Oreochromis niloticus: one gene and its partner. The protein of the gene in region 1 purifies or fractionates together with the protein of each later gene. This does not show direct contact. Links are inferred from orthologs where the notes say so. Each region holds a gene or a part of one and is shown on either strand. Other genes may lie near its edges. The genes, in order: mlxipl and mlx.

Region 1 (15,109 bases):
GCTACAGCTCAATAGGAATTAAGGTAACAACACAATTTCACTTTATAAAAAAAATAGAAAAGTGTATCTGCTCACTGATTAAAAACAACTTTCTCTCTGATTTTTACAGATAAACATCAGAAATGTACTTGTTTAGTATTCAAAATGGCCAAAGCTCATTGGCTATTCGCTAAAAACAAACAAACAAACAAAAAAAAATCTGCCATCTTCCAGCCCATCAATATTTATTTCCCCCAGTTTCTAGGTGGTGCCAAAAGTAGCAATAGTGGTTAAATACATCCTCTTCCACTTCCCCATTTTCCCCAGTTCAACCCTGCCTCTGACAATCCTTTAACTCATGAATGCCAAACAACATACTGCTGACACAGCACAAATCAGAGTGTCCCTCAAGGTTTTTTCACTCATGAACATCTGGAACATAAACCTAATTTATGTACCACAAAAATATGATTAAGATAATCATCATCCAAATATGGCTGATAAGAATCTAATCTTAAAAACTCATGTACTCTTCACACTATATCATGCACTGTCAGCAAGCATTTAACTGTAATCAACCAGTGATCGGATGCATTAATCAATTCTCCACATTTACATCATTAACAGATAAAGAGATGGACATATGAAAGGGTAGAAAGTACCTGGTATATCCATGAAATCATCCAGGTTGGGCTGCAGTGGAGTCAAGCCTGGCTGAATCATGTCAGCATTATTGGTGTATGCTGATGAAGTGGAAGAGAACATAATAATAGATGCACGCATGAGAAAGAAATGCTCTAGTGCTATTGTGTATTTTTTTGACAGGTCGTCTTTCATCATAGGGAATTTCCTTATTTGTAAGGTGGGTTTCATTGGCTGAATTGCTAACCTATGTGACCAGCAGACAGAGTCACCAAAATGAGGTAGGAGCTTAGAAAGTGAAATACTTCTACATTATATTGAAGCATAGTTTGGATTTGTTTGCTCTCTTGCTGAGAGTCAGTGGATCTTTCATCAAAGGCTGTTTTTAGCAAAAACTGGACACTGGCAGAAAGAGCCAGCTGGCTATTTTTATAGGCAACCTGTCCACCTGCTAGCTGAAGAAATCACATATCTTGTTTGTTTAGGTTGCACAAGAAACAAAGTGTTGATGGTGACTTCCTGCTTTGCCTTGTTGTTGCCTTGTCACTGTGAGATGGCTTGGAAAGCGGCACAGACTCCAAAATTTATTGTGCCCGATAGTCCCCAGCTCTGACTGAGCTTTAGACGTGCTGATCCATGTTGCCTTTTTGTTTTCATCTTTTTAAGCTAGGACAACCATCTGCTGGGTAAAGCCATACTTTGAACAGACAGATAATGAGAGTGTTGGAAACCTGAGTGCGAATGGATGAGAGGCTATTGTTAACCCCCCCCCCCCCCCCCCCCCCCCCCCCAACACACACAAAACCCACAAACAAACAAACAAACAAACAGGTGATGTAGCACCGCAGTAAACAGGCCTCAATCCCTACCTTTATATGTTGCTGTTATCAAATTTTAAAGAAAAAAAAAATTCTCAATTTCTCAGCATTTTATATGATGCCCGTGTATTATTTTCAGTCAAATTTAACTTTTTATTATTTGAAAATAAATGCATTTTGCTGTTATTTACCTTTTTTGGGGGGGAAAGGGCATACATGTCTGAAAACGGGACCACATTTAAAATGAGAGATAGTCCAACCATATCTCTATGATTATGTTCCTTTTTTCTGAAAATCTGTCCCTAAAGCTCCTGTTTATGACAGACATGAGTTAGAAATATCATTTTGGGCAATTTATTTGATTCAAAAAGTAAAATAAACTGGGATATAATTTTCAGCCCAGTGACAGCTAATTGGAATCAATTATTTTAATCCATGCAGGGTGCACCCTACGATCACCCTTGCTTTTAAATGCTTCCAATCAAATTCTGCAAGTTTTGAGACTAGTCCCTGCTGAAAGTCATTCCACAAATTAGTCTACTACTCACTGTTGTGTCGCTCACTGGTCCAGGGACACGACTTCTGTGTCATGGTGAACAGGGTGTCAGAGATGTCGGACAGAAGACAGTCCAGGTCAAACATGTGGGCCTCCGCGGGGACAGCCTCGGGTTCCTGGTAGATCTGATAGGACCATTTATCCTGCCTGGCTTGGCAGATCTGACCCTGCAGAACACCAACAAGGAATCAGAACACTTACAGGATCTGACATGCCAAGTTAATCCCAGATCTATCCATTAGGGGCTCAACATAAATAGAGCTGGAAAGTCCTAATTCATCAATGACTTCTGGTTCTCCCAATCTGTGCCTGCAATTGGTGCTCTATGAAAACTTAGTGCCACATTTGTTCGGCTAATAAATGAAAAAATGCCTCTCAAAACTAATATTAAAACAGCAGAAAAAACAAAACAATATCCAGTTACACACAAAACAAAACTGAAAACCTACAGCATTGACAACTTCAACAGGAAACATGCGCTAAGCTGTCCCCCTTCTGCCCCTTCTGCTTCTTTCAAACCCAGTGAACAACTCACAGAAATGAAGCGCCACAGCCAGCCTGTTTGACATGCTTTGTTTCACCCCGATCTTCTACTCTGCCTTTACCTTCCACTTCTAAGCTTGGGGCCACATTTATAGGGAAGCCCACCAGATTGAGCCGGAAACTATTTCTGATTACGTCTGAGCACACGACATCCCCTCTTAGAATACAAGCACGCACGAGCAGAAATGAGGTAAGATTGTTGTGCGCACATGTATGTGTATATGTGCGCGCGTGTGCAAGTGGGGTGCATCATGAAAAAGCTGTTTTAACACATTGTTCAGAAACACTGGGCCCTCACAGGTTTTCATTATGTCTGCTTTGTTCATTTCTTTATTTTGATGTCTCACCATTTCAATAAGAGCGGCAGCCTTTTGTCCCTGACCTAATTCTGGGAGTTGCACACACACACACACGTGCATGCAAACTGGAAGAGGCCCCTGTTAAACACAAACTGATGCTGCTTGGAGAAAATACACACATGCATATGAGCGGCTGAAAGACTGCAGCATCTACAGGGTGCGTTTACATCGTTTGGTGAGAAGTTTCGTTTCAAAAGAGATTCTACTAGATCCAAATCTAACTCAACTTTGGTATCCAGAAGGATGCAATTTTTTATTATAAAAATCATCAGTGAAACTTACCCTACCCTACACATTACCCCACTTTTAAAACTTTTGCATCTCCTACCTATCAAGTTTGAATTTCATTCAACGACGTTGGTCCTTCCAGGGGGCCCACCTACATTATTGAACTGTTCCATCCCTGCACTACAAGTTGGCTTCTCAGGTCCTCAGACAGGGGTCTTCTCACGGTTCTGTGTGCCCATCCAAACACTGAGAGTGATCGTGCCTTCCACACCTTAGCTCCAAAACTGCAGAAAAGCTCGACTGTCTTTGTGCCTGTTTTAATGGGCAGCTTAACCCTGTAACACCAAGTGGATCGTATTTGTGAGGTTTTGAGACCGCTACATTATCAGTGTGATTGCTTTTCCCTGAAAAGCCTAAATATGTTGCACAAATGTTAAGCAATAAATTGCACAAAAGTCCCAGATGTAAATAAAAAAATCTTAATTAAAACTCCTATATGCAAATTTCGCTCTTTTAAATACTTGTCAGAAGGTTCATTAAATAATGTATTCCAAAACATTAGATTTTTCTGTAAATTATTTGATGGTTCAGAGTGTACAGTGCTTGTAGTGTGTGTTCATTTTGTTTACTTATGTGTGCGTCTCCCTTTTGCAGAGTGTGAATTTTTTTCCTTTCAAAGAGCTATAAAAATAAACTTTACTCGCTTACACGGCATTATCACCTAATCAGATATTATTTGACTCTCAGACTGACTGAATATAAGGGCTAATGTTGCAAGTCCAGTGATCTTAATTCTCAGTCTTTTTCGTGCTATTATTAGAGCAGTTTTCCAGCTGCCCTCTTCGGGCCACACCACACACTACATCCTTCAGGTCCCAGCAACCTACTGAAATAGGGAAGGTGTGACCAGGTGTTGAAGAACAGCTCAGGTTCAGCTTCCCCTGAACCCACTGCTCCACCCCTCCCGTGCAACTGAGCCACATAACCACACCCCGCTACAGTCTGTAAATGAACTGTGTAAAAATCTCTTGAAATACATTGTCACTGTAGATAATACTCTGAACTTTATTTTACTATTCTACTTTATTAGAAAGTGGTTGATGTTAAAAATGTAAAGCCAATTAAATTTCAGACTAGTGCTGTCACAGGTTAAAAGTGCACAACTGTAACTGTGTAACCGCATATATGACATGATTACAGTATACGACATACACACTTTTGACTAGTGTTTTTCTAAGCACTAAATGTAATCTGTTAAGAGAATGGTGTGATAAGAATATGAGTGCTCAGAGCATAAAAACACAGTGAAGTGATCTTTGACCTGTTAGCTACTTGCTGATATTGGCCTTGCCGTGTTATCTATCAAAACACGGGTCAGACGCAGCATTATTATTGGAGTTTTCCTAATGTTGACCTCAAGTAAAGCTTGGACCTCCAGTGCCACAGCACATCTACAGGAAAATGAAAAATTAGAGCCCATGAAAGATGAAATATGAGGAATACTATGATGAAAGCCACTGCCCCTCTGCTGCCCGGTTTTTACCAAGTGCTGATGGAAGTAGGTCACATTTGATCAGGTTACATTCATTTTTTTTACTGTTTTTCTTGAATAAAGATAAAGAGTTATGGGTATTGTCGCAGCAGGCAGTTAGCTGGGTCAGTTGCCTTCATGTGTCAGGTTGTGACGCACAGCCCAAGTTGTTTTGCCCATTTCTATTTTCTTTTTTAATTCCCTTTTTTTCTCCCCTTCTCCCTTGTTCAGCCAGAGAGGCTAAATCCAAATGCTAAAAATAGTCACTTGGTGGACTTTAGTGGTCGTATGTCACTAAAAGGACATTCAAAAGTAAACAATGCCAGCAGGTCACCCACACATTACAATATACGCTGGGTCAGTTGGCCAGCTTCAGCCTCCACTCATCAAAGTCGATACTTGTCGACTTTAATTTGCTTGCAATATTGCAATAATGTAGCAATAACAAAGTAATGTGTGGCTTCTGACTTACCTCTTGAAGCATTAATAGAATGTCATCCTTCTTTTTCTGAAGCTGCAGGAGGAAAAGACAGAACGAGTGTGGAAAATGAACCATGTTTTTTGTTTCTTGGCTCATCATTTTAAGTTAACTAATTACAGTTTTGATCAGGTAAATGTGTTGGAAACTGGGGCCACTGAGGTTCATCCTTTGGGGACTATGACAACGTGACAAACTGTCCAACCAATAGGTACTGGTAAGCTGACTTAGAGACAGATTAAAGATGTACAATGAAGAAGGTGAGCACTCACCCTCTTCTTATAGTAAATCCTCCACTTATGGTACTCCTTGATCACCACCTCAATCCTTCTCTTCCAGTAGCTGCCCTCTAATATGATCGCCTGTTGACACGATGCCAGAGAAACACCAAGTATGTTAGTTTGTTTTTCAAGGATTAGCCAAAACTTGCAAGACCTACATCATTCATTCACTCACTTCGGGCTTTCGATGCGCATCTGCCTCCAAGCCATCCAGCGGGGTCACAAAGCCGCACACTGGGTTTTTCCTCTTCTCCACATCTGAGCCCAGCATAGAGAGTAAAAAAAGACAAGAAAATCAGCTGCTGTGTAGACATTCATTCTGGTGAAATGTGGATTCTCTCGACCCATGTTAGGTCACCAGGTTCTTCTAGTCTCACAATTTATAAAAAAAAAAAGCACCAGCACTCACACTGAATGAACCATGCTCTCCAGATTGCATTGTTCAGACGGATCTTATCCCTCCACAGCAACCGCAGACCCTTAAAAGATTTCCATTTAGGAGAGACTATCTTACCACTGTGGAGAAAAGAAAGGTGGAATATGTAATTGTTTAGGGGAAAATGTGAAAGCCCTTTCATTCATGATGTTTGTGGAAAAAAAGTCATAAACATGCATAATTGACTCTTTTAGAAAAACAATGGGAACACTGCCTCAAGCCTGCGCAAACCTGTCCTGATTTTGACTAATAGTAGCCAGTCACCTTATTCCCCGGTATACAACCAGGCTATACCGGGTTCTCTCTCTCTCTCTCTCTCTCTCTCTCTCTCTCTCTCTCCCCCCCCCCCCCCTCCCTCGCTTTTTCTCTGCCTGCTGAGAAGAGGACTCCTAATGTGAGGTGCTCAAGGAGTTGCTAGGAAGCCTGGGGAAATCATTCTCAACCTGGTTTTAATGGACTGACATGGCTCCGTATTATTCAGCCCAAACAGCAGAGACAGCATATTGCGGAAAAAACAAAGAGCAATCAGCAGAGGAACCACTTTACATCAGTCTGGTTAATGATAAATAGCGGAAAGCGGAGCAGCAATCTGTGCGGAATAAGAGGCTATGTCATAGGCTTGGAAAAAAAAAAGAAAAAAAAAAAAGAAATATATATATATATATATATATATATATATATATATATATATATATATTACTTGTTTTAAATCTATATTTTTTGTGTTTCTAAGACAAATTGTGGCACTGTTTCAGGATTCATTGTCCAACTATTATCAAACTAGACCTATAAACAAATGCAATTTTCCACCCAGCGACAGCAGATTAATTTAAAAAAGTCTTCTTTGGACCAAAGGTTGATGACAGCTCTTATAAACACGGTTTCAAAGAAAGTGGTCCTCATTTTTTAAGTAAATGAAAAATCTATGAGTAGTTTGATGTTACTGAAACGTAAGCACATTTAGAGAGTATAAGGAGGTTTCTTTGGTCTTTGGTTTGTTTTAAGTGCGGCGGCTTCCTCTGCTATAGTTGTTCATATGCAGGAGCTTCTTTGGGACATCTTGTAACAAATGGCTGCTCTCAAACAGAAAAACAAATTTCTGGGGCATCGTGTCAGGAGTTTCTCTCCTTTGCATCAGTCACACTGTCCTCTGTCCAGTCCTGCCAACTAGAATCAAAGTCCACTTTTTTTTGGGTGAAAATTTCCAAACTGGTTATGCAACAGACTGACAACACATATACACAAACAACCACAACCTTAACTATCGAGTTTGAAGGGAAATATATATATTAAAAAGAAATATTTAAAAATGTGGTTTAGTTTAGTTCGTTTAGTGAGCTTCAGTTAATTTAAAATACTCTTATTTTAAAACAGAGACTGCAGCAGATCCTGTGCATATCACTGCTTTAAATATCAGCTCAGAATGAGACACTTTCACATTCTTTGGAGATATTTTCTTCCACAAGGTTTAGCTAAAGTGAACAAGCAGAAAGCTGAAAATAAAAATGCTGATTAAAAAGCTGCTGAACCGACTTCATTTTTCCCCCCGACTACACGCAAAGGGGACCCACCTGTAGGCCAGTGACATGCACTCGAACAGGCGGGTCAGAGTGGGGTCGATGCTTAGGCTCCCGGAGCTGAGTGGACCGTAGCGGTACGTTTGACACCCCGTTCTGTTCACCGTGTCAAAGTCGTACCTCAGAGACCCTCCACTCTTCCTCCTCCGCGCTGCAGAGTCGCTGTGGGGCGAGGATACCATGAAGTGTCCGCTGTGGATCACCTGAGTGCGGGGGAAAGATTCGGGCGACGGCCCGGTGCCGGCCACCCGAGCGGGTTCCCCCTCCGGGTCAGAGTCCGATTCTAAGAAGTCCTGAAGCTGGCTCTCTCCGGCCGAGCAAACGCTCCCTTTGCCCGCCATTGTGCACTTTCATTCAGCGGTGAGCGTCGGACAGAAAGTGAACTTTCTCCTCAGCTGACTTCCCCCGCTTCCTGCCCTGTTTTCTTCAGATATTTGAATATTTCCTCAAGGAAGAGCCGATTGCTCATCTGTCAGCTGAGGGCTCAGCCAACCAGCTGCAGGACCTACACCTCTGGAGCATGGTGTGTGTGGACTGTTGTGTAACAGCATACTATCATTATGTCAACTTCCCGAGCTGGTAAAGTCCCCAAGGGAATAGACAGAAAGTGGTAATTATTAATAAACCAAAGCAAATACTAAATATTAGAAAGTTGGATGTGTGGATGTGTCACAGATTCACATTATCATTCTCTCTCTCTCCCTCTCTCTCTCTCTCTCTCTCTCTCTCTCCCTCTCTCTCTTTCCATATATATATATATATATATATATATATATACATATATATATATATATATATATAAAAAAACACCCAGCACGCCCCTGCGGGCAGTTTATCCTTCAAGCTCGGGTCCTCTACCAGAGGCCTGGGAGCTTGAGGGTCCTGCGCAGTATCTTAGCTGTTCCCAGGACTGCGCTCTTCTGGACAGAGATCTCCGATGTTGTTCCCGGGATCTGCTGGAGCCACTCGCCTAGCTTGGGAGTCACCGCACCTAGTGCTCCGATTACCACGGGGACCACCGTTACCTTCACCCTCCACATCCTCTCGAGCTCTTCTCTGAGCCCTTGGTATTTCTCCAGCTTCTCGTGTTCCTTCTTCCTGATATTGCTGTCATTCGGAACTGCTACATCGATCACTACAGCCGTCTTCTTCTGTTTGTCTACCACCACTATGTCCGGTTGGTTAGCCACCACCATTTTGTCCGTCTGCATCTGGAAGTCCCACAGGATCTTAGCTCGGTCATTCTCCATCACCCTTGGGGGCATCTCCCATTTTGACCTCGGGACTTCCAGGTTATACTCGGCACAGATGTTCCTGTACACTATGCCGGCCACTTGGTTATGGCGTTCCATGTATGCCTTGCCTGCTAGCATCTTGCACCCTGCTGTTATGTGCTGGATTGTCTCTGGGGCATCTTTACACAGCCTGCACCTGGGGTCTTGTCTGGTGTGATAGACCCCAGCCTCTATGGATCTTGTGCTCAGAGCTTGTTCTTGTGCTGCCATGATTAGTGCCTCTGTGCTGTCTTTCAGTCCAGCTTTGTCCAGCCACTGGTAGGATTTCTGGATATCAGCCACCTCCTCTATCTGCCGGTGGTACATACCGTGCAGGGGCCTGTCCTTCCATGATGGTTCCTCGCCTTCCTCCTCTTTCTTGGGTTTCTGCTGCCTGAGGTATTCACTGAGCACGCTGTCAGTTGGGGCCATCTTCGTGATGTATTCGTGGATGTTTCTTGTCTCATCCTGGACTGTGGTGCTGATACTCACCAGTCCCCGGCCCCCTTCCTTCCGCTTAGCGTACAGCCTCAGGGTGCTGGACTTGGGGTGAAACCCTCCATGCATGGTAAGGAGCTTTCTTGTCTTTATGTCAGTGGCTTCTATCTCCTCCTTTGGCCAGCCTATTACCCCAGCAGGGTACCTGATCACGGGCAGGGCGTAGGTGTTGATGGCCCGGATCTTGTTCTTACCGTTCAGCTGACTCCTCAGGACTTGCCTGACCCTCTGCAGGTACTTGGTGGTTGCAGCTTTCCTAGCGGTCTCTTCATGGTTCCCATTCGCTTGCGGGATCCCCAGGTACTTGTAACTGTCCTCTATGTCTGCAATGTTGCCTTCTGGTAGTTCAATCCCCTCAGTTCTGACTACCTTCCCTCTCTTTGTTACCATCCGACTACACTTCTCCAGTCCGAATGACATTCCAATGTCATTGCTGTATAGCCTGGTAGTGTGTATCAGTGAATCGATGTCTCGTTCACTCTTGGCATACAGCTTGATGTCATCCATGTACAGGAGGTGGCTGACAACCGCTCCGTTCCGTAGTCGGTATCCGTAGCCAGTCTTGTTAATGATCTCACTGAGGGGGTTCAGGCCTATGCAGAACAGCAGTGGGGACAGAGCATCTCCTTGGTAGATCCCGCACTTGATGGTGACTTGTGCTATGGGCTTGGAGTTGGCCTCTAGTGTTGTACGCCACATCCCCATTGAATTCCTGATGAAGGCTCTTAGGGTCTTGTTGATCTTATACAATTCTAGGCATTCCAGTATCCAGCTGTGGGGCATTGAGTCATAGGCCTTCTTGTAATCAATCCAGGCTGTGCACAGGTTGGTCAGTCTGGTCTTGCAGTCTCGGCTGACTGTTCTGTCTACCAGTAGCTGGTGTTTTGCGCCTCTGGTATTCTTGCCAATCCCTTTCTGTGCCCCGCTCATGTATTGACCCATGTGCCTGTTCATCTTAGCCGATATGATGCCTGACAGGAGCTTCCATGTAGTACTGAGGCAGGTTATTGGTCGGTAGTTGGATGGGACCGGTCCCTTCTTGGGGTTCTTGGGGATCAGGACCGTCCGACCTTCGGTTAGCCATTCCGGGTGTCTCTCGTTAACTAGCAGCTGGTTCATTTGTGCTGCCAGACGCTCGTGGAGTGCAGTCAGCTTCTTCAGCCAGTAGGCGTGAACCATGTCGGGGCCTGGTGCTGTCCAATTCTTCATACTGGAGACCCTTTCTTGGATGTCTGCCACTGTGATGGTTACTGGACCCTGTTCAGGGAGGTCGCTATGGTCTGCCCTCAGATCCACTAGCCACTGAGCATTGCCGTTATGGGTTGTGTCTTTCTCCCATATGCTCTTCCAGTATTGCTCCGTCTCCAGCCTTGGTGGTGCTGTTCTGTTATTATTGTTCCCTTGCCACTGAGAGTACACCTTTGCTGGTTCTGTGGAGAACAGCTGGTTTATTCTCCTGCCTTCTATCTCTCTGGTGTACCTCCTCAAGCGGCTGGCCAAGGCTGTGAGTCTTTGCTTGGCAGTTTCCAAGGCCTCAGGTATGGACAGCTTGTTGTATTTCTTATGCACCTTCTTTGTTGCGCCTTTCTGCAACTCCGTTAGTTGGCTAACCTCCCTTCGTGCTACTTTGATCTTGCCCTCTAGCCTCCTTCTCCATGGAGGGTACTGCCCTTGTGGCTGTTCAACTTGTAGCCAAGCATCTCACTGATCACTGCTGCCGTAGTGTAGATCAGCTTGTTAGTGTCGGTAATCGTGGTTGTAGGATATATATATATATATATATATATGTATATATTTGATGTGTTTCAGCAAGCAACATTTCTGCCCATGTGCGAAGATTTCTGCATATCACATAGGCCCCTATATCTGTGTTTAGGAATGATTATTAACAAGTTTTGATCCTTCATTTTTTTTAACCCATAAAGCAAAGAGTACCGGCCCCTACTGGCGGTATTCTTTGTTGCATGTTTTCTAATTATTTCTCTCTCTCTCTCTCTGTGTGTGTGTGTGTGTGTGTGTGTGTGTGTGTTAAGCCTGAAAATATTTTCTTGAAATATTTCTGGAGAAAATAATTAAAAAAAAAATCTCAACAGCAATCAGATATGAAGAAGTGGGTCTTCCCTTTACCTCACCCCCAACTGGTTGTAGCACATGGATGTCCCTCCCTGAACCTGGGTCTGCTAGAAGCTTCTTCCTGTTAAAACAGCCACAGATGTGCTAGAAGCTAGAAGGGCTAGAAGCTCTGCTCATGGAGAAACTTGCTAACCCCAAGAGGTGACAGGTACCTACAAATAACATGATATAAACCCACATACAGCCTAGCCACAAAGTAAACCAAGTCATTTAGTTAAAGACAGCATGGGACCAAATGCATCTAAGCAGCCTGCACCAACCTGACATTTCTTCCTCCTGAATTAAATGAAGACATGGATGGATGGATGAAAATTATATGACTTCAAACCTAAAATCATAAAAGCTACTAGTTCCCACACTGGTGTTCCCTGACTCTGAGTGTTAATTATACTGAGCTTGTATCAACAGTTGTAACAGGCTAAGCTAAGACACTGTATTGAATTATTGTTTCTATCTTTATGATTTCAGCTGACTGGATTCAGTTCAGATGTTCTCCTTTTCCTTTCGGTAGATCAAATGACAATGCAACTTTACTAAAACCTTTAAAGTATCTAATATAAAATAGAAAAATGAAGCAATCAGAGGTTTAATGATGGAGACTCTGGGTTCTGTAGTTCATGTTTTACAGTCCTGAATGACTATTTGCAAATGCATATAATTTATTGAAGTGGAGTTTAGGTTGCACTTACATTTAGACTGTTGCCATTTAATTTTTTTTTTTTTTTTACCTTGTTACCTTATGCCATGAATAAGGTTTACCTACCTACACTCCTAATGCCAATATGATTCTTTATAACTGCTGCTTTGAAATACTGAACTCCAAAATTTACCTCATGAAAGATAATAGTTCACAGTGGCACACTGTCAGAATAATTCTGACTTTAATATCACTGTATTAATCTGAATCTTTCTCAAATGTGCTATGAATAAATGCTGTTGCAACTCACTGTGGGAAAGCTGTTAATAAAATGAATCTGTGACACCTTCACAGAGGAAGAGCACACAAAGGGAGGACACACAGAGGCTGTGTTAAAGTCAGAAATCCAAATCTTTAGTCAAAAACAGGCAGCGGTTACAAACAGAAAGACAAGCAGCCCAAACATGCACTTAATGGGGTTAATTGCCCAAAGGTGTGAATGCGGAAGTGAATGTGAGTGCGAATGGTTGTCTGTCTCTGTGTGTTAGCCCTGCGACAGACTGATGACCTGTCCAAGGTGTACCCCGCCTTTCGCCCTTTGAAAGCTGGGATAGGCTCCTGCGACGCGGAAGCAGTGAATTCAAACAGCTGTAAAGTGAATTCAAACAGCTGTAAAAAAAAAATAACTGCGCACTGAAAAACTTAAAGCAATGTCTGACGCAACAATAGGAAACAGCTGAGTATATTCAGTAAATTATCATCAATTACAAAAGAGAAAAATGACGATTTCTAAAGTGTTTTTCTTAATTGCATTTAGAGTGTGGCTGGTAAAGATGAAAACAAACAGAATTGCGCATTATGACCAATGCGTGACTTGGCGGGGTCCTGAGGTAGGCGGGCTGTCTCTGGTGATGTTGTCATGAAACGCAGGAACAGCGTCTGACACATGTTGATGAAACATCCAAGACACTGGTGTAGTTTCCTTTCAGGCTGTTTGACATTTGACACTTCAACATTAAGGGGAACAAGAAGAAACAGTGTTAGGTCAGGTGACCACATGGTTTCTAAAATAACTGACAGGCTGTTAGAAATGGAGACCATGTGTTTAGAGTCACTGCGCAATAGTTACTGTAGTTAAGTAACTATACTTACCAAAAGCAGACGCACACAGATGAACAAGGATCAGATGCTGAATGTTGCAGGAACATGCTCATGTGTGGTGGTCATTCAATGCTGCTCTATTCTTTTGTCACTTGTCTCAGGCCTTTCTTGAAGTTGGCAGGTTAGACAGTCCAATAGTCATATCCTGCCCATCTGAGGAACAGTTTGAAAACACACATGCAATGCTTTATTCGTATTACGGTCAGAGTTGGATGTTCATTTTTGTCCTTTTCTTTGAAGCTGGATGATGACGACTCCTCTCTCCCTCACTCAGAAACACTCCTAAAATAACCAAGCAAATGAATACAATTAAAGATTTACTCCTTTCATTAACAAAAACAATAAAAACATCTCCCTTTTATTCAATTTCTCCATTCCTACTGAATATCAGGCATCAAATATCACAGTAAAATGTAAAGCACATACTATGTACAACATTTGCCTGCATAAAGAACATTAATTTCTAAATCATCAACAACTATTCCTTTTTTAGCTGTGGATGGTTTATCTGCTGCCTCTGATGAGAGATCAGTAATTCAGTAAAATCAGTAAATCAGTAATTTTCTCTGCTTTGTCTTACCTCTGCAGAGCCTCTGTCAAGAAAAACATATCTGTAAGCATAGAAGATGTAAAATATACATTTCATAGCACTGCACTGGACAAATCTGGGTTGACTTCCTCTGTGCATTGCAGAAAAGCATCAGTAAGGAAGTCAAGGTGGTGAGATGGACTCGTGCCCTTTTTGACTCTGCTAGTTCTTCTGAGAAAACACCACCGTCCCTCCACACCATCACCATCTGTGAGCACAAACTGCTACTCTGCCAGCCTGTAGGAAATTGGATCACCCACACAGAGGTGAAGAAACAGAGCTCGAGTTTGGATAATTTAGATCAAACTAGCTCTTAGTTTTAGCAATCCATTGAACAGACAGGTGTCAAATTTATCAAAACCATAACAGAAACACACACACAAATTTTATTTTTATATATATACACATATACATATATATACATATGCACACACACACACACACACACACACACACACACACACACAGAAATGTACAATTTTTGATTAACAGAAAAAATATGAATTACAAAAAATAATATTGTATGTTATTAAAATATTCTGCAACCATGATCAAAGTCAGAATATTCATTACAGAATTGTGGACTTACTACTTGGCTAATAGTGATAAACTTCAGGGGAGATCATGATGACAAAAAACACAAATAACACTGTGAAGTCAAGCTGCTTTTCTTCTTTCTGTGACGTCAGCATGCTGGCAGACTTGAAGTTGCTAAAGATTTAAAAAAGTGATAATTATAGGGAAGAAACTTCTCTTTTTCATCCGTTTAATCAAACATTTTATGCCTCACCTGTCTCAGTCCTATAGCATTCTGCAACTTCAACTAACCTGAGGAGGCTTGGATTTGGCTGCAGGTATCCCTGTAAATCCTTCTCAGCAGCATACATGTAGTTACAATTTAATCACACTTCTTCATGAGCTTTGCTTCCTCACAAGACCAAAGGTGGTATCCTGTGTCACAGTCTTATCATCAACCAACTGGAAAAGAAGTATTTCCAGCAATTCTGGTTTTGTTTTCTGATCCTGCAAAAAGACTGAGGACAACAAAGCCCAGAGAACACAAGATACACATCATCCAACATTTAGACACAAACAGCCCCCATACATGAAGAACACCAGGTTGCAACAGCTGCAAAATCTAGTTATAGATAAAAGCATACTTCACATTACTGTGTATGAATAATAACCAAGAGACAAACTTTGAAGATGCAGTGCATGATGTCCCATCATCACACTGTAAACAAACAAACAAACAGGCTTCTTTGTTGGCAGAGGTAATGATTCTCCCATCAGGGATCTGTAGAGTGTATTAACCTGTAGTATAAACATCAGTCACTGAAATATTACTGTTTCAGATAAGAAATCTACCACATAAAAGCCAGGGTGGGA
Region 2 (16,821 bases), on another chromosome or scaffold:
AGTTGTTTGGCTTTTTTAAATAAATTAACAAGATGTTAAGTGATTGACCTCTTGTGAATCTAAAAATATAATAAAATCGCTGAATATCATTATCACTTAATAGCTATCTACCAAACTGTTAACTAGGTCAGCATCTGTGCTTCCATTTAACACTTATTGTACTTCAGACAAACACAGAGAGACAACTATTCAATCCTAAAACCAAAGCAGAATCACCAGTTAAGAAAATCTCATGAAGCTGAATCTGTTTATCTGGAAATAACACAGCCCATTTTAAAAGTTGATTAGACAAATTTAGATACAGTGTCAAAAGATATTATTCTATTAGTTGTAGCTTTTCTGGTCATATGAGGGACTTTAAAAAAAATATCCACACCTCTAGATACTTGTCTAATCCAAGGTGAGTGAACTCATATTGTAGATGGACACGGAAGTTCATGTTCTCCACTGAATGGACCACAATGTTTATGAACTGCATGCAGGCAACCTTTGGGTAGAAACAATGAGAGTTAAATGTCGTTCATGCGCACGGTCTCTTGGTGAATCTGCATCCAGTGGCTGTGGTACCTACCATGAAGTCAATGTTGTTGTCATCATTGATGAAGTACTCCATGAGCTTCTCAAAGCGGTTCCTTTCTTTGCTCACCTGAAAAAAAAAATAAAAGCTTGCTAAATATGTATTTTTATTATTGTGAATATGGGAGGATTAAAAATAAACTGATTATAAATGTGTTAGCCCACCTCAGAGAACATTAATACTGAGAGTATATTCTGCACCTCAGTATGGTACGTGATTTCAGTCTTAAACATAAGCATGCATGACTTTTAGACATGTGCTAAAATTGCGACCATAGTGCATGTGAGCAGTAGACTGTTACTCATAAGATGAGCAATGAAAGAGGGGAAGTCTGAAGTAATTAGATGCCTGAACAGTCAAAGTCAAATAAGGCTCTTGGAATACGAGGAAATTGCCTGAACAAAAATAATTTCACCTCTTTAAAGTTGTCAAAGGCAGAGAGAATGATGTCGTGTCCTCCTCGGACGAGACAGACGGCAGCCAGCAGCTCCAAAACAAGAGCTTTGGTCCTGCCACGACAGAGGAGGATGGGTGAGATGTGGATGCAGACACTTAACACACTTTATCTCACAGACAAATGCGCTCACCTGGGATTCCTGCTGTTGAGACTGAGGGTGATCTCATTCACGCAGCGTGGGTGAGTCATCACCAAATTAAAACCAGACTAAAAGCAGACGGAAGATACATAAACAGCTGTTCAAATGTGCTAGAAACAAGAACTGGGTTTTTTTTGACAACCCAGAAAACATGTCATATACTGTGATAATCCATTTTAAAGACAGCATAGGAATTAAGTGACTTTATTAGACTGTGTGCTAAAGCTTTACCTGATAGTTCATGATGGCTCGCAGGCACATTATGCACACATGTACATCATCTCTCTGGTTGTTTATGTGGGACTTCTTATGTATCTTGTTTACCAGAGTGGAGCTTATTCTGTGAAGCAATAATACATGTTGGAATACATGTTTGAGGGAAGAGAATCTCCTGTATGCATATACATATGGTAAGATATGCAGTGAGATACTTGTAGCTTTGACTTCTAGGGTTTTGGACAGTCACTGTGTTTGACAGATGCTATGTAGCACAACATGGAATGAAGATAAAGGATAAAAGACGAACTAACTTTACTAACAAACAGTTGGATGACCATGTGAGGGGATCTGAATGAATGAGAGCACGAGAATGTCAATGGTTATCTTTTTTAAGAGGAGGCTATGCTGTGGCACTGTATCAGTTAAGTTACTAAACCTAAACCTATGTTTCATATTTTAGAGTTATAATCTTATAAGCTCTTACTTATATATCAGTTAGAGCTGTCACTTTATTTGAGAGTATTTCTATTTCTGGGCTCACAGATTTTCTCAAATTCAGTCCTAAATATTTATACTTCGACAACTTCTTAAAAGAAAGAGAGGTGTAGCATGGCACAGTTCTCACAGCAGTGGAAACCACTGTGGTGCTTATCAGTACCGCAGAAGTTCGTGGAGTTTTCACACCACTTCTGCTTTGCATGAGTCTATTTTTTGACAGTGTGTAGAGCTGCTTATGTTCAAAGTTCATTCTTCATTCAAAGGCATTTGAACTGTGCAACTTCTCTGAAACCATATTGCTGTTTCTTAAAGCTACTGTATCTCAGTAACCTTTCAAGTCTCGAGTTCCTTACCTTACAGTCAGTGCACGAGCCGCTCTGGTCATCCCATGTGACTGATGGCTGCTGGAGCTCTTGGTCAAGTCTTCCATTGACCTTTCTGCTGATTTTCCTCTGTCTGACAGGCTGCCACCATTTTCTATACCCTCAACCTCAAACCTTAAAAATAGACATCTTTTTAACACAATCTATAACAGCACAATTAAGTTTCGAAACTCAGACCGATTCTAAAATAGCATTCATGTCTGCTTAGTACTCACGAGCTGTCACTTTGTGCGTAGGACAGGTATTCCACCAGAACATCCAAACCTTTATTCTGTTCATTGAGAAACTCCTGGGCCCATCTTCAAAAAAGAAAAGTAAATCATGAGGAGTGACCATATGTAATAGATTCTGTGCCCAGACAGGATTTATAGCCAAAGATTGTAACTTTAGAAGGAAAACAGAACGCAGTCCTGCTCTAAATATGGAATCCAGCACAGTCAGGTGATTTTCTTTTGCAATCTTACATTTTTTTTTTGAGGAGTTGCACTATGAAGGAAAAAAAAATGCAATAAAGTCAAAGGGCTAAAAAACCCCAAAACAGATTATTTCTGCACTGGTTTTGCCGCCTTTTCCACTTTATGTACAAATGTAACAATACATCGAAGCTTTAAGTACTGCTTCTGTAAAAGGTTGTATATAAACTATATATAACTGTTGGTGTGCTGAAGAACCACTTCAGCAAAGGTTTTTATCACCAGCTGAAAAATATCAAGTGAAACTAAAATAGCTAAATGATTTATGTAGGTAAAGTGCACAGACAGTTTGCAATTTCGCTAAAGTTCGCCTTGAAATGTCTTTTAGCGTTAATGATTGATAAAGATTTTCAGGTTGGACTGCGTGAAACTGCTATTAAAATCTGGAAAACATACTTGTGACACACCAAAAACCAAAATAAAACACATTACACCTTAAACACTAATAAACCAAACAGAGGCTCATGAAACAAACAGGCTCACCCAATGTGATTGGTCCGGAGGGATATCTCCAAATTTTTAAGGACCTGGGTGGCATCTTGGATCCTTTTCTTCAACTAAAAAAAGCAGAAGGGGTTAAAGTCACTGATGCAGGCACATGATGCACGCATAAAGAACAAGAATGCTTTCTACTGACCCTACGAGACACCCCTCCTTGATCCTGGTAGAGGCTTTTGATCTTGGTCAGGTAAGTGGATGGGGGGCTCTTCACCTGGAAACGCTCCTGTGGGAGAATATTTTACAGAGGATAGAGTCAGCACATGCTGAAGTAGAATTAATTTAAGCAGCGACCTCAAATAACGACTGATCCAGAACCATATTTTACCAGCAAGCTGCATTTGAAGTTATTCTAGTAAATACAACGAGCACAAACCGCTCTCTGTTTCCATGCCGACGGCTCTATCAGTTGCCACCACAGAAACTATGTTGCAAGGTTTGCAACCACCACTTAAGACTCTCCCCTTTGGGTATTTGTGCACTTTATATCAACTCTGCCCCCAGTGGAGCCAACGCTGCAAGAATTTGGTCCATTTTGATGGCATATGTTACTCATAAAAAACAAATAAAAGCTCTCACCTGATCACAGACTAATTCCCATTTCTTATCATTGTCGTATTGACTCAACAGCTGGAGTTTATCTGGAGGCAAGTTCATGGAACTCTGAAAGAAGAAAGATGTAAAGATATAAAATGGGTTTTAGAATTTACATGAAAATGTGTTTGGAGTACAAAAAAAATCAACTCCATCTCTACTGATATTTAGCAGAAAGATATTATACTATATACTGTCATTTCTTCGTGTTTCCTGCTCATGTAACATTATGCAAAACAACAATACCTCAGATGCACTTTCAGCACAAAACTGAAAGGCGGTAACTACCTACTGGTAGCAGATGACTCAGTGTTTACGTGTATGCATCGATCGTTGCCAATAGGTACCGATGTGTTACACGCACTCAGTGTCTACTCAAGCTTCAGCAACACTTTTTGACTTTTTGAATAATATGACCCATGTTTAGACATTATCTGTGCTGTCTGTTTCAGCTTTAGTAAAATATCTTTTTCGGTCATAAACTGCTCATAATATTTCTGTTATTTTCTGAATATCATAAAGACCTTTATACAGACCAAGTATCCTCCACCTCCATGATTCCAGTGTAGGTTGAATTTCGAGTTGGCATATTACTGTCCAAAAGGGACAGTTTCACACTGAGTTATCAAACCTACAGAGACATGTCATGTGTAAACGTTATTTCCCCATTCACAGAAACTGAATGAGCGGAGGTTGTTATTTTTAAAAAAAAGGTCAAATTAAAAGGAATAAGATACGTCAAGGCATCGGCGTAACTTTCTGCTGAACATTGGGGTGGGGGTCAAGATCTCTGTCTAAATAAATAAATCTGGGTAAATTCCCAGATGATTAAACATGCAACTATTTTGCTGGTAATAACTGAAATGAGTAAAGAAAATTAACAGCCTATTTATGCAAGATAATTCATAATTTTATTGGGGGGGTTATATTGGTTGAGTCTGATTATTGGGGGGGTCATAACCCCCTAACCCCCCTGGAAATTACGCCCCTGCGTCAAGGAAAAAGGCTTCACTCACAAAATTAACTTGTTTTCTTTGATCACTAATTCCCTGTAATTATTTATGTTTTGCTTAAAGATATTTTTTTCACAGTCCTCTCTCACATTACTGCAGCTGGTACTGCACTGGTACTATTTTTTTAGCTGATCAAAAGCTTAAATCAATGTGACCATTTACAGTAAGTTTAAATAATTTCAGTTGATGTTGGGTGTGGCTTTTTAATCTAGTTTTGTGTACATTCAAGCAGCGGTTTGACATCTTCTGTGCACTTTTTTCTTTAAAAAGGGAGGAGTGAAAACGGAAATGATCTGATGTGTTGGTGCTCGAAATGAGGCTCCTTCCTTGGCTGATGTAAGGGAGAGGTCTTACTGTGGTTTTGTGGTACTTAAAAAAAAGGTAATGTGAGTGCCTTGCATTATGAAGTTTATAGCTTCTGATTTAGTTACTCAAAAATAAAAAGTACTCACATTTTTCAGTAATGCAAAAAAAAAAGAAGGTTCACTTCTCGTTTCCTTGTTGGTGACGTCAACAATATAATCTCTAGACTGAGGTTTGACAAGTGACAAGTATTTTACTGAAGAAGGAAGACACTTGAGAGGGTGTTGTCATTTTCCGGAGAGCACATTTTGTGTAGATATTAATGAACTGTTAACCCTGGCTCTAAACTTCATTATCTTGCATGAAATTATAATGTTTCCATTCAAGGTTTGTCATATGAAGCAGATATGGCGTGAATTTTGACTTGTTTTTAGAATAATCATGGTATGCTGTTCCAATCAATGTCATTTTTGAGAAAAGACAAATAGTTTTAGTTGGAATAGTTGCATGGATTTATATTTGCTGTGTAAAGTGTTTGTTTTTTACTACGTAAAAAATAACTTTCTAATTGCACCCCACCTTCTACAAAAACACAAAATCATTATTTTTTTTTACATACACTACATTTTTATGTATGCTAAATATTTGCTTGAAAGGTTAAAACCCATTTACAACTGCTCTGAATAACACTGATCCTGCTTTTGTAATTTAATGTTTTGTTGGGAAAGCCTATGTTAAAGTACCATCCTAAACTTTGTGACATAATATTATTATTAATAGCAGGCAGGTGCTTTCCTCTGTGGTATAAGCCAGACTCATAGAAGCCACACCCTACAACTCATGGGTCTCAAAGGATTTGATACCAACATCCAGATGTTCAGCGGCAGGACAGCCTCAGGGGTTGACAGGTCAAAGAATCTTCGGTGGCTTTAACTAGATGTGCCCACTTCCAGACTAGTGGTTTTAATGAGTGTGGTTAAAATGTATATCTGGACACTTAATGCTGTAAATCATCTACCACATAAACCACAATGCCAGACATTATAGAAAATTAAAAATGAGAACATTGTAGAACAAACTGAACTATTTAGATGTAAAAATCTGGAGAACTTGAGCCTTGAAAAAGTAAAACTCTTAACTCATTGATGTTACTGGCTAAGCTATGTCAGATTAACATGACTGTTAGTGTCTTTGTTTCACTTTTGTAGATCTGTATTTTTTTCTTAGCATTGCTAAAGAAAAAACAAAACACAAATCTCATAGTTAACTCTATTTTTTCATTAAAAAAGTCAAAGAATAAGCCAGGATTAAGATAGTCTAAGCATCATGATTTGATATTTTGCGCAACATATAATCTAAAAGATCGTAATACTTGAAGTTTTATCTTTACTAACTTGTTGTGAGACTGTTGAAAGAATGGTGAAACATTTCCTTTCCGGTCCTGTGGCCTCCGGCATGTAAATGCATTGCTCAACTTCCCATTTCAGCCTGCTGTTGTGCATGCATTTATCAAGCAGTTTCTGGTTTGAATTTTTCTAACCAAACCATGAAGAATTTGGCAACTTGTTGACAGGATTGTCATTGTTTTTATCACTAAAGTGAAAATTTAAGTAACTGATGATATTTGTGCAAATTTGACTGGACAAAATGACAGACCATTAGACTCTGACTGAGGGTGTAACGATCTTTCTAACGTTCAGCTCTTTCTTCTCACTTGACAAATAGCTTTAGATACACCTAGAGAGTGTAAGAAATGAAGTAAAGTACATATTGGAGTCTATATTAGAGCAAAGTAAATTTCCAAAGAGTGAAAGATCAGTCACTTTCAAACTTGGGTTATTACCTTAACAATGTAACAATGTAAAATGAAAGCTGATTTGATATGTGTTTTTGTGATCCTCTTAATCATACTTACTTGCACAATCGCCCTTACATCTACAAACCAAAACTTTGTGCAAAATCTGCATGATTTCATATGGAGTAAGGGTGCACGGCGTGTCATGCTCTCACTCACCAGAACCATGTTGAAGCGCTCCTCCAGCTCCTTCTCTGGTGGCATGGGAAGTTTGGGTTGAGGAGGCTGCTTTTTTTGCAAGGTTGGTGCAGAGTCATTCATTGCTGAAGCTGCACTGACTGAGTTTCTGGCCTCTCGGCCTTCGGCCGGTTCATGCTCCAATCCCCCACCAGCCGCATTCCCCATCACTAATCTCCACAAGTAATCCAGGGGGACTGCTTTACGCAAACTGTTTCCTCCAGGAAATCAGCGTATCCAAAAGCAAAGTGACAAAAGATGGTCACTCTGAATTACAACAGCAAAAAGGCCCTAATCAAATCAAGTCTAGGGCCTCTAGGGCAATCTACATTAATTCTCAGGTTTACAAAATCCGCCTCACACCCGAGGACAGGGTGGGCAATGAAAAAAGAAAGTTTGTCCTCATGGCCCCCTTCTCCTTAAGTTGTCTTCAAGTTCCTTTTGAAAATGAGGTGATAAGTCCTGTTAGAGCCTGTTAGAACTCGAAAAAAAGGTCCGCCTATGCCTCATGCACTGTTGTCTACATTAGTTGACCGAGAACTCTCTGAAATAGTTCAGTACCGAAGCCTGCGTGTGAGAGGAAGGCAGATGAGGAGTGTGACACAGTCAGAAACCACAGAAGCACAAAAGCAGAAGAGTAACTTCCTGTGCATGACAGCTATAGAACCTGGGGCGGAGGACATGGTGGAAGATAAACATGGTAACCGTTACACGTAACCATGCAGTAGGTGGATGATGATAAAGAAAAGATACTACAGGAATGAAGGAGAGCAGACTCCAGATTTGATGTAAGATTAACAGATGTCGATGTAGATGTAAATCAACTACACAATTAAAGGGAACTTTGCAACATTTCACAAAGAAACCACCTTTTTGTACTAGATTTAGTCATTTTACTGATGTCAGCTTGCCATGAGTCAACGGTTACATTTGTTTTGGTGTTTTCCCTTCATGTGGTGGTTTAATCCAGACAGGTAAAGGTGGTTTCAGCATGACAAGAATTGTCAAACAACACCCCTATGTGGATAAAGATGACTACTGCATCTAGTGAGATCTATCCAGTGGGAATGTTAAGATAGTTATGTTTCTGAAAACTAACTTGTTACCATTCGTTGGCTCAGTAATTTACGAAGCCTGTGTGTATACAAATGATTTCTATTGAGGAAAAGAATAATAAGTTTATCACAGATGCATTTCTTTGAGAAAGTGAAAATTATTAGCTCCGATGCAACAGGATATTCATTTTCAAAGCTTTCTGAGACTCACTGGAAGGCAACAGTGTTATCAGCTGAGTAAAATGAAAAGATCAAGATAAAGATTCCTTTACTGCTGCCAAAAGAGAAGATTGGAGATGTGTTTAGACATCAGGAAAATGCTGGGAAAAAATCATCAAAACGATAAAGCTAATCATTTCCTTACAGGTGTAACAGTGGAGACGCAAGTAGCAGAGGTATTGAAGTAAAGTGAGTTTAAATACTTGGAGTTTTTCTTGTAAAGCAACAGTAGGTACACAAGATAGCTGAAGAAGAGAATGCATGCAGGATGGAGAGGATTGAGACGAGTGTCAAGGGTAATTTGTTACAGGAAGATAGCCGCAAGAATGAGATGATGTATGGTTAGGAAATGCTATCACTAAAAAAAGAGATACGCAGACCTGGAGGTGGCAGAGTTGAAGATTTTCACTGGCCATGATGAGCAAGATTCAAGAGCAGCTGAAAGAAAGCAGATTTATTTAAGTGTTTAAGAGACAAAGAACTGATAAAAAAAATAATTTTAGTTTTTCTCTCATACTATGTACGCCTTCTGTTTATTTTTTCTTTTCTTTTTAATACAGTCTTTCTGTGACATAAAACCTACATTTTATGCGGTCAGTTACTGCAGTAATCCTTCCAAACCATGGGGTGGCGTTTATCATGAACAGATACAATTTACTACCGTGGTGCACAGAAGAAGAAATCCGTCGCATTCCAAAATGACGGACCCGACAACATCTCCAGAGGACCAGTGGAAAGTGAGTAACTGCTATCAGAAACCTCTATTTCGGGTTCAGATGACTCATGTGTATGGCAGCACTGGCAAATGACAAAAGCTGTGTTGTCTTAAAGTTGAAGCTTTAGTAAAGTGCAGGGGGTACACGGTTTGTTAGCTTCGTGGCTAACTAACGTTAGCTTCCGAGGTTTTGATAATGTTAGAAAGCTGTATTGGTTAGCTAGCCAATTGCCTACTTATGTAAACAAAGCAGCCATTGTTCCCCCTATGGTGTATACAGTAAGTCTTCATCTACACACGCAAAAAGGTAAAAAAGAAAAAAGGTCAGAGTAGCTGCTTGTTTCTTGCAAATCTATAAGTGCAGCATCAGTGTTTGTGAAGCTCACATTACCTTGTCTGTTTTACACTATATATAATTAATTAGCACACCACAGAAATTGAAATGGTCTTCGTTCCACAGACTCCTTAATAAAGACGTTTAGCCAAATAAAACAAAGAAAATAATTAATAATAATTAACATATGTTCAGGGCCCCCATTAAAAAAAAAAATGTCTCTAAAATAAATAGGGAATAGTAATTTTACAGTACGTAAGTAAACGTGTAGTAGGATCTGTTGTTCAAACTTAACATATATTCATTTTTTCCCCTCCTGAGCTTTTGAGACTTTGGAAACCACAAATTAGACAGCTGTGCCCTACATCAAACAATAGCTCTGTGATGAAGGCTCTTATTTTCTGCAGCTTTTTACCCACCTGTTTTCCTGAACTGGACAAATCAGGGCAATGCTCAGTGGGGGCTTAACTGGCTGGCTATTGGTCTTTTGTCAAACAAATGTAGGGCAGCACAGCGTTTTCCCTTGTTATTAGCTTTACAGCCTCTTATTTTTTGCCTTTTTCTATCTTCTGCTCTCTCGTGATGGCTCGGCAGACCGATGGTGCTTTCAGTGATGGTGGCTTTGACAACAGTGAGTATTCAGTCAGTTCTTGTGTTGTACTTCATCACCAGTGTAATCTGATCTCCCACATGATACCGATTATAGATGTATATCAAAATATATTTTGATTTTGTTGTGGATTATGTTTGATCACTGCTGTCTTGCTGTCTAGGTTATATTTCTGAAGCAATCAGAAAGGGCACTATTGTGTCCCGGGCCAACAGTATCGGCTCAACAAGTGCCTCTTCGGTGCCAAATACAGGTACTGGGTTTGAATGTTGTATATTTATGTGATAGTTAGCTACTAGTAATGTAATTGTAGTGTAGGTTAATTGTTTACTTGTTTGGTTGTTGTAGCCTGAGCCAGTCAGATATTTTTAAGAAAAAAGTTTTTGTTTATTTAGTGTAAAAGCGAAATACAGGAAATAGAGACAGCTTTGCTTATATTTCTCCATGATTTGTATAAAAGGAAAAATCTCTCTTGCTTGTGATTAATAAAAAATATATATTAACCTTAGCTCAAGGCTCGCAAAATTTCAAAATCTCTGGTGGCCCTTCGGGCAGGCCCTCTTCAGTTTTTGGTAGCCCAAAATAAATTTAAGTAGCCCGAATAAAAAAGAGAGCAATTTTTTAATGTTTTGTTTCCTTTACAATACTATACATTAAAGTATAATATTGTAACGGAAACAAAAATTAATCAGAAAGTTGTTAAAATACAAATCACAACAACTGTATAAAAATCACAGTCATCAACTCAAATACTTGGTTCTAATTGAACAGAAATTTCTATGAACTTGTAAGAACTGTGTAGAACATGAATCAGTCTGTGTCAGATCCTGAATCTGAAATTTCCACTGAAGTCACGGGTAAGGGGTGAGTGGAACCAAGATCTAGGCCATTTGCTTTTTGAAGTTTGCAAAGACTGCTAAATTTTGACAATGGTAGTTCACTCTTTGCAACATAGTACGCTTTTGAAAGATTTTTCAGGACTTCTGCTTGTGCTTGGTTTATTTTTAGTATGTTTTTTGCAATTGCTGTTTGTTCTGGGAAAGATATTGCAGACTGAGCAATAATGCATTCTCATGGGTTCTGATGGGGTCTTTCTTAAAATTACTGGTCCCAGTTATAAAGGCGCTTGTCGACTCAAATGAAATGAAACTCACAACACACCTGGCAGAACATCATGTTATTTAGCTCGTCATATTCCAGCCACAGAAATTATTTTGTCCATGAAACCAAAAAAGCTGAGCTTTCTTTTTGCCTCCTAGTCTGATTTGTCATAACGTTTCCGTTTTGTGGTAGGCTTTTATTTGGCTGCCCCTTCTTCACCCTGACCTGTCTTATTTGGCTCAGCAGAACTAAAATACCGGCGTAAGTCCTGCTGCTTTTACACACGTACTTGCATAACGGTCAGCGATTCTCTGCGCAATCAACCTCTCACATGTTTAAACTTGCTGTGGGAGATTTCACTTGTCACGTTTGAATAGTAAGCTAATGAGTGATAAGACGATGTCAGAGGAATTGGTGCGCAATCGTCACTCACCAATCAGTGCTGCCGCTCTCTATACACCGTTCGCGCGATCGCAAAGTGAAAGTGAAAGCAAAAAACAAGCACAAATTCAAACGCGATTTCAATATGTCACATATTGGCAGTGGCTCATCGATGCCGATGACATAATTACTCAGCTACATTTTCGAAAGAATGCAAAAGCATTGACACATATTTTCCCTTCCTATGATAGCCCGACGGGCAGGGCTGAGATAGATTTTGGTAGCCCGACTGGAAAAATCGCTAGCCCCGGGACGTCGAGCTAGCGATTTTGCGAGCCCTGCAGCTCTATAGCTTTTATTTTTATTTATTCCAGAAGTTAGAAAATTCATGTGTTACAGTAACAAAACATTAAACATGGCCCTTAAATATGTCTTAAAAAAAAATACAGTTTGAATAAATATAAATAAAGATGGAAATATTTTTTGTATTGCTATTACAGCAGTTAATTTTCGTATTTATTTTACTCTATTTTTCTGTACAATGTTTTGTGACTGCTTTATACATAAAATTTTCTAACTTCCCAAACACAGGGATTGCTGTGTGAGGTAGAAAATATTTCCTGTATTAGTCCATGTTTAATTATGGAAACATGTGTTTCATATTTTACAATATTTTCTTAAATTCTTTGAGGGTTTATGAGATGTTAAATAATAATTTACTGTGTAAATTAAGTCCATCACAGTAATTCTTACTGATGAAAATCAATGAGTGTTGCCTATATGTGTGAAATGAGTGCCAACACAGGAATGACTCCAGGGTTAATAATCTTGTACGGTTATGAATTGATTTGATCAACTTTTTTAAAATAGCTACTTCAGCATTTTGTAAGTTGGTTAAAAAAACGCTGCCAATGTCATGGTTCAGATTTTTATTTTTTCATTAATGAGTATTAATCTATTCCCACATAGATGATGAAGACAGCGACTACAGGCATGAAACATCATATAAGGACTCGTATAAAGATCGTCGGAGACAAGCACACACGCAAGCTGAGCAGAAGCGTAGAGATGCTATTAAAGTAAGGACACACATTTTGAAAGTTGGAGATTTGCTTTAACTTTTTTCAGTAGTTACTAGTTGCTCTCTTTTAACATTAGAAAGGATATGATGACCTCCAGTCAATCGTTCCAACATGCCAGCAGCAGTCTGAATTTGCGGTGGGAGCACAGAAGATCAGCAAGGCTACTATTCTGCAAAAAAGTAAGATGTGGTCAAATATTTGTTAACACTTGGACAAACTTGGACTGCCTCTGATGAGTAACCTTGACTTCAGATTTAGTTGGAGATAATCTATATATTAACTATTACATCTGACATCTTGATAAGAAAAGAGCAATTTTCTATCCTGTTTATGTGCCATGGAAAACAATAGAATGCTTTGTACTGAACTTGTTGTGTGGTGCAAGCTTTTCACAGTTACATCTCACTTGGCCACATTTAACAATAAAAAGAGACGATAGACTAAGTTCAAGGAAGAACAGATATTTCCTGTCTTGCAGGGGCTCCTTTACCCAACAAAAGGGGAAGTTACAGTACTAACGCCCTCAGTATAAAGGTTAACTTTCAACAGTGTACCTAAAATTTGTGTGCAAGGCAGAAATCCCCGACTGACAATTTCTTGGTTGTTGTTTTGTTTGTTTTTTTAGCAATTGACTACATCCATTTCCTTCACAAAGAAAAGAAGAAGCAAGAGGAGGAAGTTTCTGTCCTAAGAAAAGAAGTGATGGCACTTAAGATTATGAAAACGTGAGTGGTTTAAAATTCATAAGCCAAACTGCTTTTTCCACATTGTGTTCTTCACAGGCCTTCTTTTTTTGGCGATCTGAGACTTCCCTAAATCCTCTAAACATACCTAGACAGATGGAAAGACAGATCTTAATTGCTCCTTGGGGATAAATAAAGTCTTTCTGAGACTGTAAAAAGAATGCTGGTCTAGGGCAAAGAAAGAAAACTGTGGAGTGGGGAATGCATTGTGTGCTTTTGTCCATGTTCTGTAAAGAGTGACTCAGATTCATTGTTTATGAAATTATATTAACCATCCCCCCCCCTTTTTATGTTTTGATAGGAACTATGAGCACATAGTGAAGGCTCACCAGAACAACCCACAGCAGGGAGAGGATCAGGTGTCGGACCAGGTCAAGTTCAACATCTTTCAGAGCATCATGGACTCCTTGTTTCAATCTTTCAGCAACTCTGTTTCAATGAGCAGCTTCCAAGAACTGTCGGCCTGTGTTTTCAGTTGGATTGAGGAACACTGCAAGCCACAGGTAAGGAGTATATTTAAAGAAACCCATGAGAACTTTATTATTTTGTGTTTATGTTGAGATATTCATAGTTTGTCTTCTGCTTATGTTCTTTCCTAGACGCTGCGGGAGTTTGTTGTTGGAGTGCTGCGGCAGCTCAACGGTCAGCTTTACTGACTGCGCCTGGCCTCTGGTTAACACCCAAAAATTGACTTTTTGAGCTTACTCTGGCCTCTAAGAGTGGAGTAAAAAAAATGTTGATCAGCCTCAAGCTATGCCGCAGTATTTACACTCACTTTGACTCATCAGTGACTCCTTGGCTGCAATTTGAGTACCTCATCACATGTGGCAGAGGTGAAAGGTGGCATTGGAATGATATAAGTTTAATACAAATCACTTTAAGCTTTGAAATGTACATACATGTTTAACTGAGTGTATTTCAGGATCTTCTGATTGTTATTTGATTTGGGAACCCAGCAGTACAGAAGTCACTGTAAGTGCCGTTTTCAATGTGTCAGGCAGGCAAAATATTGTGTTTAACTAATGGTAACCACCATCTGCAGTAGCCATAGTTGCCCACACTGAGATAAAAAACATGAGGAGGGGAGATTAGATCTTAATAGCAAGAACTCTTCTTACAGATTGAGTGAACTGATGGTATAGTTTATGGTGCCTTTTAAAATAATCAACAGAGATAAGGGGGGAAGGGAACTCATGAGCCAACACGTTCCCCTCTGTCACATCAAGCATGACTTTGTAGCTTAATGCTGAACCAAAGGAGCTCTTTCAGCTTCAGTGGACGAACACTGAGCCATTCCTCAGCTGTAACAGATAATAGAAACTACTGCAGAGTAACAATCATTGCTAAGTGTGTTATCAGGAAAATGCTATATGAGGTCTCAACAATTTATCACTGGGATTTGGCTTGTAATCCGACACATTTTGAGATGTACATAAATGGAGCTGTGACAAGCTGACAAAGTGCTGAAATGTCAAATTATTGTATGTATAAATTTAAATCTCTTTACAGTGTGCCATTTAACATTTTATAGTTGGCGTATTTCAATTCAATTTGGCTTCAATGGCAGGAAAAGTAATGAGTATTCTGTCTCATAATTGAGCTCATCACACTATGAAGCAATGTGTGTGGTGATCTTTCTGCAACTTTCAGATTTTCCTTTAATCAAAAAGCTTAAAATTTCAGCTTGTTGGTCCAATTCCAACAGAATAAACATTGTTTACTTTTGTTATCAGTGGTTCTCAGTGGCTAAGATGCAGTTCATGCCATGCTGTGTATCAGCCAGAACCCGCTTTTTTTTTTCTCCACCATCACTTTGAAAACTGTCCCTTTGAACTGCACCAGCCAAGTTCATGCTGAGAGAAGTGTTGAGAAGCTACAGCTGCTGTGTGCTGAATTATAATGAGTGAATTTCAAGTAGGTGACAGCTCATTTTAATGATGGTTGTTTGTTGTTTCTATAAACATCCTTTCCTGTGTTAGCTGTTTTCATGGAAATGTTGTTTTTTTTTAACTGTCTTAAGTTGTTGTTTCGGGTGTATTAATAATTCTGTCATACAAGCCATGTACACTCAGTGGCCACTTTTAGTTACCCCCTGTAAAATCCAGTCTGAAATCTGAGCCTTAAAGTCTGCTTTATAAAGGTTTTTTTTCTTTCTTTAAATGTACACCAGCAGATAGGTGTAATCTATGCATTAATGTACAGCTCTGTTAGTGTTGTAGTTTGCTGTGGTGTTGAATGTTGACGTTTTTAATTTACAATCCAAGGAGGTTGAATATTTAACCTCCTAGGACCTGGCGTCCACATATGTGGACATCACATTTTGGGCTATTTAGACCAAAATACTCAATTTTGCGCTACAACTGCCTGATATCCACTTACGAGGACATTATACTGCTACTGTTCTATCGAAATTTTAAACGAATATCCTCGTATGTGGCTCTCATTTGTCTTAGAAACAAAAATTAGGTAAAAAAAAAAACATCTGGTAATTCTTTGTTTTTACATTCATTGGGCCCCAATATGCCCAAATATATATATATATATAATATAAGAGAAATTAAAAATCCATGCCGTGGAAGAGTTCGGGTCTTAGGAGGTTAAAATAGGTTTTAAATCTGTACCTCTGAGAGAACACTGTGTTTGATTGTATTCAATTTCATAGGTTTGCCTAATAAAGTGGCCACTGAGGGGTTTTTTTGTCATCCAAATTATGTGAAAATGAAGCATCTGTGCATAACAATAACAGGAAAAATCATAAAGCTAGGCGGTGGTTCCCAACTGTGCAGCTAATGAAATGTATTTTATTTATGCTTCACAAGAATTAAAGTAAAACAATTGTGGCGCTTCAGCATCAGAATTTATGGTGTTGAACATTTAATAAGCAGAAAACAGTACAACTGTAATTAAAAAAATATAGATATATACATTATACATTTTAAGTTATGCTTTCAGAAAATAAAGCAAGATGGAGTTGAACAAGAACAACAGAATGTATAGATTTTAAACATTTAAATAAAGCCTTGAGATTTTCACTGGAAAGCTCAGGATTGGTTAAATCGCTTTAGAAGGGAAAATTTAAACCAGCGTTGCCTTTGAGGTGAAGAGCATGACTGTGTTGTCAATTGATGTGAAAGTGTTAAGAGTTTCACAAGCAACGAAACAGTTTTTTATAAAAACATACTTTCAGTTATGAACTTTTTTTTTCAATTAAAGCATTTATTAAAGTTGAACTATTTATTCAAAATAAAGGGCGATAAATAAAGTATTCTCTGGGCTTCAGATTGCTTTCCTGTGTAATCCATTTGCTTAGATTAGTGGCAAGGTGACTGTAAAAGAACTTTCTTGTTCAAGTATGTGGAAGAACTACTTTACAGTCCTCATCAGTCTCCACTCCA

The links.
Region 2: the proteins of mlxipl (region 1) and mlx purify together in Homo sapiens (affinity purification with western blotting; 3 studies listed by BioGRID and IntAct, counting the BioPlex papers as one, with this or other methods). This does not show direct contact. The link is inferred for Oreochromis niloticus from reciprocal best matches to the Homo sapiens genes MLXIPL and MLX.

Annotation. Positions count from the first base shown.
Region 1 is NC_031975.2:7,055,100-7,070,208, forward strand, and holds the start of mlxipl (carbohydrate-responsive element-binding protein), read right to left. Parts: upstream 7,979-15,109; 5' UTR 7,770-7,978; coding exon 7,423-7,769; intron 6,909-7,422; coding exon of another isoform or gene 6,899-6,908; intron 5,932-6,898; coding exon 5,825-5,931; intron 5,674-5,824; coding exon 5,591-5,673; intron 5,497-5,590; coding exon 5,407-5,496; intron 5,171-5,406; coding exon 5,129-5,170; intron 2,163-5,128; coding exon 1,988-2,162; intron 723-1,987; coding exon 642-722; intron 1-641. UniProt on the Homo sapiens protein: Binds DNA as a heterodimer with MLX/TCFL4 and activates transcription. Binds to the canonical E box sequence 5'-CACGTG-3'. Plays a role in transcriptional activation of glycolytic target genes. Involved in glucose-responsive gene regulation.
Region 2 is NC_031969.2:25,988,066-26,004,886, forward strand, and holds mlx (max-like protein X), read left to right. Parts: upstream 1-9,055; 5' UTR 9,056-9,158; coding exon 9,159-9,197; intron 9,198-10,103; coding exon 10,104-10,140; intron 10,141-10,282; coding exon 10,283-10,372; intron 10,373-12,570; coding exon 12,571-12,680; intron 12,681-12,759; coding exon 12,760-12,862; intron 12,863-13,308; coding exon 13,309-13,408; intron 13,409-13,727; coding exon 13,728-13,929; intron 13,930-14,025; coding exon 14,026-14,082; 3' UTR 14,083-15,662; downstream 15,663-16,821. Other genes in the region: psmc3ip (homologous-pairing protein 2 homolog), read right to left, coding at 16,773-16,821. UniProt on the Homo sapiens protein: Transcription regulator. Forms a sequence-specific DNA-binding protein complex with MAD1, MAD4, MNT, WBSCR14 and MLXIP which recognizes the core sequence 5'-CACGTG-3'. The TCFL4-MAD1, TCFL4-MAD4, TCFL4-WBSCR14 complexes are transcriptional repressors.